Oryza sativa Japonica Group: one gene and its partner. The protein of the gene in region 1 interacts with the protein of each later gene in a pairwise test. Links are inferred from orthologs where the notes say so. Each region holds a gene or a part of one and is shown in the gene's direction. Other genes may lie near its edges.

Evidence for each region.
Region 2: the proteins of protein farnesyltransferase subunit beta (region 1) and protein farnesyltransferase/geranylgeranyltransferase type-1 subunit alpha interact in binary tests that used the Arabidopsis thaliana proteins (3 or more experiments, as listed by UniProt). The link is inferred for Oryza sativa Japonica Group from reciprocal best matches to the Arabidopsis thaliana genes ERA1 and FTA.

Annotation. Positions count from the first base shown.
Region 1 is NC_089035.1:31,376,152-31,380,519, reverse strand, and holds the start of protein farnesyltransferase subunit beta, read left to right. Parts: upstream 1-1,552; 5' UTR 1,553-1,567; coding exon 1,568-1,938; intron 1,939-2,036; exon of another isoform or gene 2,037-2,055; intron 2,056-2,248; coding exon 2,249-2,335; intron 2,336-2,434; coding exon 2,435-2,537; intron 2,538-2,989; coding exon 2,990-3,025; intron 3,026-3,497; coding exon 3,498-3,580; intron 3,581-3,659; coding exon 3,660-3,713; intron 3,714-3,818; coding exon 3,819-3,870; intron 3,871-3,936; coding exon 3,937-4,001; intron 4,002-4,084; coding exon 4,085-4,141; intron 4,142-4,233; coding exon 4,234-4,306; intron 4,307-4,368. Other genes in the region: pentatricopeptide repeat-containing protein At4g32450, mitochondrial, read right to left, coding at 1-762, 1,244-1,344. UniProt on the Arabidopsis thaliana protein: Catalyzes the transfer of a farnesyl moiety from farnesyl diphosphate to a cysteine at the fourth position from the C-terminus of several proteins having the C-terminal sequence Cys-aliphatic-aliphatic-X (CaaX).
Region 2 is NC_089043.1:24,433,912-24,438,271, forward strand, and holds the start of protein farnesyltransferase/geranylgeranyltransferase type-1 subunit alpha, read left to right. Parts: upstream 1-1,310; 5' UTR 1,311-1,419; intron 1,420-1,702; exon of another isoform or gene 1,703-1,705; 5' UTR 1,706-1,715; coding exon 1,716-1,967; intron 1,968-2,919; coding exon 2,920-3,029; intron 3,030-3,194; coding exon 3,195-3,315; intron 3,316-3,464; coding exon 3,465-3,560; intron 3,561-3,813; coding exon 3,814-4,254; 3' UTR 4,255-4,360. Other genes in the region: uncharacterized protein, read left to right, coding at 357-527. UniProt on the Arabidopsis thaliana protein: Essential subunit of both the farnesyltransferase and the geranylgeranyltransferase complex.

The DNA of each region.
Region 1 (4,368 bases):
TCAACTTCCTGTTGTTGAAAGACTTGCTGATCATTTCCAGTTGATTCTTGATATGATTGTCCTGAAGGGCCATATCCATACTGCCTACTATCATATGCCTGCTGGTTATTTTGGGTGTTGTAGCCAGATCTGTATGTGTCAGATCCATGATAATGATGCCCTGTACCATATCCAGAAACGCCACTATTATTACCTTGTCTGCGGCTATACTGGGAATTTGGTAGATCCCCATTAGCGATTTGCTGGTTGTATGTAGTACCACCACCATAAGGTTGCTTGTCATTGTATCCAGGTGCTTCATAATTCACTCTTGCACTAGTATATGGCTCATTACGATTCGCAAATCCATATGGTCCACCTGTTTGGGAAGGCTGCGCAGAATTGCTTCTGTACTGTGCATTGGCACTGCCATAGGGTTGCCTGTCATTATATCCAGATGCTCCATTATTCACCCTTGCACTACTGTACGGCTCATGACGATTTGGAAACTCCGGTTGCCCAGGATTGCGTCTGTAATTAGCATTGACACTTCCATCACCACTCACACCTCTAATTCTATCAGCTCCTACAGAGGAATCAGTTGAAGGGAGATTTGCCTGAACTTGGTGGCTGAGACTATCAGTTCGATGGGGCTCCCTGTAGTTCCCATCATTACGTGCTCCCCATTCGCGGTGATAGTCCCCATCGATCTGTTCTGATGCGAAATTGCCAGCGCCTCGATGTGGAACCAAAGGCCACAGACAACCTCTGTCAGCTGGAAGACTGCAGCACAGTAGTCAATGGAGAAAGTGAATTTACAGGAAAGAAACACACGATCATCAGGTTATCAACTTGGAAATCCAGAGAGTAAAACGAGTTTGTTCAGCTTTGTGGAGCTATGTATTCTGGACTTGTAAGTCGGGATTGATTATTGAACGAGTGGGAACATTTCAGCATAAAAAAGGAACAACAACTATCAAGTACCCTGTATCTGCGTTCGGCGCATGAGTGCCACAGCTTCCATTTCAAACCATGATTGGCCTCCATGAACAAGTAAGAAAAGGACAATTTCTTTCCTAAAAAAAAATCTCTCTCTAGAGAAAGGACTGCAAATCTGTGGCTTCGCTTCTAGCCTTCTAGCACAGAAGATCACAAGTTCTCTGAGAGAACTAAGACTAAACCAAACGAACGCTATTGAATACCCAAGATTGATGCAAGGAAACAGTGACTCGCCGTAGGGCTTAGTGGGGCGACGGTGCGGTACCTGGGCGGCGAATCCACGCGACGGACGGGCGAAGCGAGCGCGCCGCGAGGCGAGTAACGGGCAGCTAGGAGGGCCCTGCGTGCTCCAACCATGGCGGCCATCTCTCTCCTCCTCCTTCCTCCCTCCGACCTCGGCGCGCTCCTCCTCTCCTCCCCCTTCTCCGGCGGCTCCCTCCCCTAAAAACCTCGCGACGATGCGGCGGCCGTTCGTTCTCCAGTCCAGCCGCCAAGCAGAAGGAGCGACTGCCTCTCCTCGGCCGCGTTTTGCGTACGTGGCTGCACTTGAGTCGTCCGATGGGAATAGGCCCAAATAGGCAAAGGCCCAATGGGCCTTCTGGTTGTTGGCTTGACCGCTTTCCCCGTCTTCCGGGGCCCACAAGAGCACCGCGGCCACGGCTGCTGCCTCTCCGGCTCGCACATGGTTCGCCGCCTTTCGGTGAGATCCCCGCGGCTGCAGCGAGCTCGCAGGCCGCCGCCTTCCGCGCCGCCGACCACCGCGCCCATGGACCCCCCCTCGCCGCCGCCGCCGCCGCCATATCCTCCTGCTGCTGCTGAGGGCGGTCCGGCAGCGGATAGCCAGGCCGCTGAGCTGCCCCGGCTGACTGTGACGCAGGTGGAGCAGATGAAGGTGGAGGCGAAGGTGGGCGAAATCTACCGCGTCCTCTTCGGCAACGCGCCCAACGCCAATTCCCTCATGTAAGCGAACCCTTCGAGAGCGCTGTCGCTATCACTTTGCTTTAGTTACTCGCAGTGTTTGTGCATGTAGAGTGCTGTGGCGGATTGGGATGCGAGAGATGTGCTAGATGGGTGCGGGTATCATATCGTTGTTGCTAAATTTTAGCTTGACTTAGTTCCGTAATTAGTTCATCCTTATCAATTACACAGTGTAGATATAGCCTGGTTATGTTGTTCACAGTCACAGAAGCTTAATGTTACCAGTTAGGTTGAGAATTTAATGTTCCCCACCTCCTTATTACGAGATTTGGTTGTATGTTTACTGCTTCAGGTTAGAGCTGTGGCGTGAGCAGCATGTTGAGTATTTGACGAGAGGGCTGAAACATCTTGGACCAAGCTTCCATGTGCTCGATGCCAAGTAATGGTTCTCCGGTATTGAATTATATAGCAGAATATGGTTTTAAAATGAGATTATGCGAAGTTGATGTATATATTTGGTTTTAAAATTATGTTCTAGTCGACCTTGGCTGTGCTACTGGATTATTCATGCACTTGCTCTGTTGGATGAAATACCTGACGATGTTGAGGATGATATTGTGGACTTCTTATCTCGATGTCAGGTTTGTTAAACTGCTGGTATTATATAAAAAAATGTTACTCTTACTACATAAATATGCATTAGTTACCACTCTTCATGCGTCTGTAAAGAAACCAACTCAACAAGTCAATTTTTCAGTACTTTGTTCTTTCCTTTACTGAGGTGATAACAAAGTTCAATCGAAGAAATAGTTCCACTAGATTTCTAAGGTCTTGTGGAATTTTTAAAGTCTCAAGCTGGGTGTCTGAATGAATCTTCTGAACCCACATGTAACTTTTCATGCATATCAAGGATAGCACAACTATCTTTGTTCTGCTCCACTTAGTTAGTTCATGTTATCCCTTTCCTTTCTCATAAAGTGTTCGGTACAACATGAATTTGCTTATGGATACATAGCAAATAACTGAAGATATTGATTTGCACATACATGTGATTCTGAAGATTTCATTGCCATTATTATCATGATTCTTTCAGGACAAAGATGGTGGTTATGGCGGAGGACCTGGACAGGTTTTCTCTTAACCTCAAACTTTTGGGTTCCAAACTTGTGGCTGGGTAATATAGCTTTGAGTTGGTTAACATTTCACATTAGTTGTCGTTATCTTAGGCAATACAAAACTTCAACAAACCATGTGAACACTGATCTTTTGCTTCAAATGACTAGATGGGCCAGTCTAGGCTACTCAACATCTACCCTAACTAAATTGACCATCTCAAACAAGTTCGATGTGATGAAATATCTGAAGATCAATTTATCTTTGGGTATTTGATGGCCTAAAGTGTTTATATAACTACAGGTTCTCATTTTGATGGCAAAGTTAGTGCTTTGACTTGTGTTATCCAACTCGTGCAAACTTTAGAATAGTCAATCTTGACTGTTCTTTGATCTTCCTAATTTGAGTTCAGTTTTACGAACTCACTCGATAAGGTTAATTTAGTATGAGGCGAATTTTTTGATGTCAATTTCACTTCTTTGTGCTAGTTGCCTCATCTCGCTACAACTTATGCTGCTGTAAATACACTTGTAACTATAGGGAGTGAAAGGGCACTATCATCGGTAAACAGGTAATTCTTATGGCACTATGTTGACTAAATATGCTTCCATCTGTATCATATGGTTAACAATTTCTACGGTGTAAATCAGGGACAACCTGTACAAGTTCATGCTTCGGATGAAAGATACATCGGGAGCTTTCAGGTGTGCATTTTCTCAAGTAGTAAACAGTGGGGAGAAAATAGTTTCTTTCCATGTCGAGTTCCTTACACCTTATATCTGCCACTCATTTTATTATCCTTTGACCAGAATGCATGATGGTGGTGAAATAGATGTTCGTGCTAGCTATACTGCAATATCGGTGAGTTTCTTTGCTCCCTTAGTATTTTCTTTGCAATTCTTTGATTTTTTTTTCTTGTTTTGTTAGGTTGCCAGCCTTGTGAACATTCTTGATGGTGAACTAGCAAAAGGTGTTGGAAATTACATAACAAGGTTTGCTTTGGCTCTTGTCATTGTCAATTTTCCAGCTGTAAAATATAGAATGGCTGGTTAGTTCCTAAACTAAATGCCTCCAGGTGTCAAACCTATGAAGGTGGCATTGCTGGGGAACCGTATGCTGAAGCTCATGGTGGGTATGTTTCAACGGAGGATCTCTGTTTTTTTTTATTTTTCCTGTATGTATCTATTTGGATCTTTTAAGTAATAGTTGCTTTGGTTTGACAAGGTACACTTTTTGTGGGCTGGCTACGATGATCCTGCTTAACGAAGTGGACAAACTTGATTTGGCTAGCTTGATTGTAAGGAAACCTCTGTTGATTGATTCAGTTCTCTTTCTATTCCAACTTGTGTAGCGCTACTT
Region 2 (4,360 bases), on another chromosome or scaffold:
ATGACTAGCATAATATGATAGCGATAAGCGCAGAATGAGTGTAGAGCTCCTCCCTGAGGTCACTCTGCATTGATATGCAGGAGATTAGTATGGGTAGACGAATTTCCTTATATCAGACTTTACAGCAGACCAAGAACTGAGTTTTTTTTTTTTTTGGCATTAGACTTAGGAATTGGCTTAGCTTCGCTGCAAGGCTCTTTTCCCCTTGTTTCTGGGACTGTCTTCATCTCATCCTTCTCGTTTATCCAGATAATATCAAATGCATTGTCCGAATTTGCCGTCTGCTCTGGAACAGAACCTGCTTCATAGCCTTAACATGTACTCCGCACTAAAACTTCTGTTCTTGGTTCTTGCAGTGCCTAAGGCCGCCATATGGGGTGATGTACCTTGCTGCAAGGAAGAATTACATCGGCTCGAGCAGCGCGGTGCGGCAGCTCCGATCCCTGGTGGATGAAGAAGGCGCATTTGGCGCGCACCTCGTCTCTGAGCCCCCAGAGAGGGAGATCTGGAAGTTCTTCTTCAAGTAGTAGTAAACTAGTAGTTCTTCGGTGTGGCGCTGCAAATTTCATCACAAGCTGCGATGATCACCAGTTCTGTACATAATATACTTTCAGAGTTCCAGCCATGTTTTTTGTGTCGTTTTTGGGCTTTTTTTCCCCCTCGGAAGTGTGGTATTATTATGATGAAAATTCATGACAACTCAAAACCAGTATTCGTTGTTCAGCTGCCAAATATTTTTGAGTTTGTTATGCTGAGTTATCACTTATCACCAGTATTGATTTGTTGAATTATTATCATTTTTAAGTTTGTTTGGTTGTGGGTTATAGGCTCTATTTCAAACGATTTATTTACCAGATTATTGCAATGGATTATCCTCTCGATTATGGGTTAAATATTTTTTAAAAAATTAACAAATATGTTATAAGTGGTGTAAGCAATCTAATAGATAAAAGTTCTTTGGAAAAAACATACTACTAGCAAACGTATATTTTGGGATGGAAGGAGTAATTTATATTTGAAGTAAATAATCTATGGAGTATTTAGGACCAAAACCTGAATCCTATGGAGTAATTAGGACCAAAACCTGAATCCTGCACTGTTTTTAAGTTCGTTTCTGAATTCTGCTGATTACTCTTTTTGTACTCTTTAGTTTGTTACTATCACCCTGTGACAATGTTATATGGAACCCATTGAGTCCATGACAAGTGGGTGCAGATATAGGCTGAAGTTACAGCCTTGACTGCAAGTCAAAGCAGCGCAGTCATCACCATCCAGCCGTTGAAGAAGCAACCAATGGCTGGATTAAGGTCATAGCGCTTCCAATCCTCCTCCTCCTTCCTCCGCTCGCCGTCTTCTCGACGACGACCCGCGGCCACCGCCGCGCCGCCCTCCTCGCCGCCGCCGCCGCCGCCGTCTCCGGTGAGGTTTCCCTCGCGTTCTTCTCCCCCCTCCCCCTCATCTCCTCCTCCTCCTCCGCCGCCGCCGCCACATCCGACTCCCCTTCGCCGGCGCTGTAGGGGGAAGAGAGACCTGATCCCTTCCACCGCCTACGTGGAGTTCCTCTACTATCCTAGGCCGGCGTGGAGTGATACGTGAGCCGTGAGCGTGGAGATCCATCCATCCCACTGCGGTTTAGGACTGCAGTTAGTGGAGGATTTGATTCGATTTTTGTGTTTTTTTTGTTTGATTTCTCTGGCTGCAGCAGAATCTGATCGATGGCGCCGTCGTCGACGTCGTCGGAGGGTGCCTCCGACGAGTGGTTGCCACCCAGCCGGCGGCCGGAGCTGGCGGACGTGGTCCCCGTGACGCAGGACGACGGGCCCCACCCCGTGGTGGCCATCGCCTACCGGGACGAGTTCCGCGAGGTCATGGACTACTTCCGCGCCCTCTACTTCGCCGGCGAGCGCAGCGTCCGCGCCCTCCACCTCACCGCCGAGGTCATCGACCTTAATCCCGGCAACTACACGGTGAGATTGCTCGTGTTATTCCCCCTTTTTTTTCATGTTGGAAATTGAATTTGCAGTGCAGGAGATTTGCTCATTTAGAACTATGGCCCTGTTTAGGTATATTAATCCATGATTTGCTACAGTGATGCTACAGTAATCAGCCGCTAATCGTGGATTAATATACATCATTAGATTCGTCTCGCAAAATAGCTTAGGGGTTATGGAATCGGTTTTATCGGTAATCTATGTTTAATACTTCTAAATAGCAAGATTCCGGAGGGCTATTTAATAGCTCGGAGCATCCAAACAAGGCCTATGTACATGTAGAACTAGCCTTCACTTGTTATAGTAAGAGTAGCATGTTGGGATATTGGCAAATTCCGGCTTAGCTAGTGGTATCTTGGCGGATTTATCTATTTCGGAATTTGATTATAAAAGTATAACTGTGATGGCAAGCTTGACTAGCATATATAATGTTGTTTTGGAGACACAACGCGGCAAGACAAATTTAGGAAAATTGATTAATTTTTTTTTCTTGTGGACGCATTGAGAATGTCTAGATTTATGGTAGAGCAGGAGAAAACAGTTAGTGTTTGATTTTAATCTGCATACTGTGGTGGTGTCTCTTTCAGACTTATCAAATTTTCAGTTTTTCCGCTGTACTTTTCATGATCAGAAAGATAAATATAATTAAAATATACTGTAGTACTGTACCAAATTATGTTTGGGGCTTTTAGTCCATATCCATAATAGGACTTTTACTTTGTTTGCTCCCTCCAAATTTGTACTCAGCCATCTGTTGTTGCCTCATTGGCATTTTGCATGCAGAATGTGCAAATTTCTCCCAGTTCTGAGTTTAACAAGCAACAAAACATGGTGGCATGTAAAATTGTCTTTCCTTGTTATGTGTTTAGCGTCATGCATTTCATTTGGATGCCAGTTTTGAACTTAATGATCTTTTTTTGCTTGATAGGTGTGGCATTTTAGGCGTCTTGTTCTAGAGGCACTGGATGCTGATCTGCGTGAGGAAATGGATTTTGTGGACCGAATTGCTGAATGTAACCCAAAAAATTATCAAATCTGGTGAGTGACATTAAGTTTATACCCATATTTGGTAGCTGTGGAGTTTTTCATGAAGTTTATACTTGCTATCATTAATTCTGAGCGTTCTGTAATTAAAACTTCATTCTTCTGCTTTTTTGTTGGGAAATCTTGATTAACGTCCCAGTACTATATATATTTTCTCAGGCATCACAAGAGATGGCTTGCGGAGAAATTAGGACCAGATATTGCAAATAAAGAGCACGAATTTACAAGGAAGATACTTTCTATGGATGCTAAAAATTACCATGCTTGGTCTCATAGGCAGGTATATAATGTTTCCTCTCGATGTGCGCTAAAATTAGGCTGTTGATACTCGTTTGAGTTCATTTATCTATATTTGAGTGCTGCACTGAGCAAACCTTTGAGGGAAAGCTGAGTTCTAATAATATAATTTATGTATCATTACTGCTGCAGTGGGTTCTTCAAGCACTGGGTGGATGGGAGACTGAACTACAGTATTGCAACCAGCTGCTTGAGGAAGACGTCTTCAATAATTCAGCTTGGAATCAGGTCAGTTGATATGCTTGTTTGGCTTTAAAATTTCTAGTTTATTATACAATTTCACTTTTAATTCGTCCCATCTTGAATAGTAGTCTGAAAATCCATATGCCGGTTCATGATTTATTAACTAAATTCATTGATTCTTTCTCTTCTTGCTTTACGTGGTATTTTGTCCTACTACTGTCTCCTTTCTGACTTTTTTTGGCTGATTAACTAAGATCAAATGATTACACTGAAGTATGTTATGTTTGTTTTGCAACAGAGATACCTTGTAATAACAAGTTCACCACTTCTTGGAGGCCTTGCAGCAATGCGTGACTCGGAAGTGGATTACACAGTTGGGGCTATTCTGGCTAACCCTCAGAATGAAAGCCCCTGGAGATACCTCAAAGGCCTGTACAAGGGTGAAAATAACTTGCTGATGGCTGATGAGCGCATCTCTGATGTTTGTCTCAAGGTCCTGAAACATGATTCGACCTGCGTATTTGCTTTGAGCTTGCTGCTCGATCTTCTTCAAATTGGTTTACAACCTTCAGATGAACTCAAAGGAACTATCGAAGCAATAAAGAACTCTGATCCTGAAGCAGATGAAGCAGTAGATGCTGATCTTGCGACTGCAATCTGCTCAATATTGCAGAGATGTGATCCCCTGCGGATAAATTACTGGTCCTGGTACAGGACCACTATTTCTTCTCAAACCTGAAGCATGCAGTGGCCTCCATGAGGTCATAATGGAGATATCTTCTATCTTCGTGTGATTCTGGGCGTTGAGGTGCCTAGCTACATTTGTTATGAACTTTCCTTGGGCA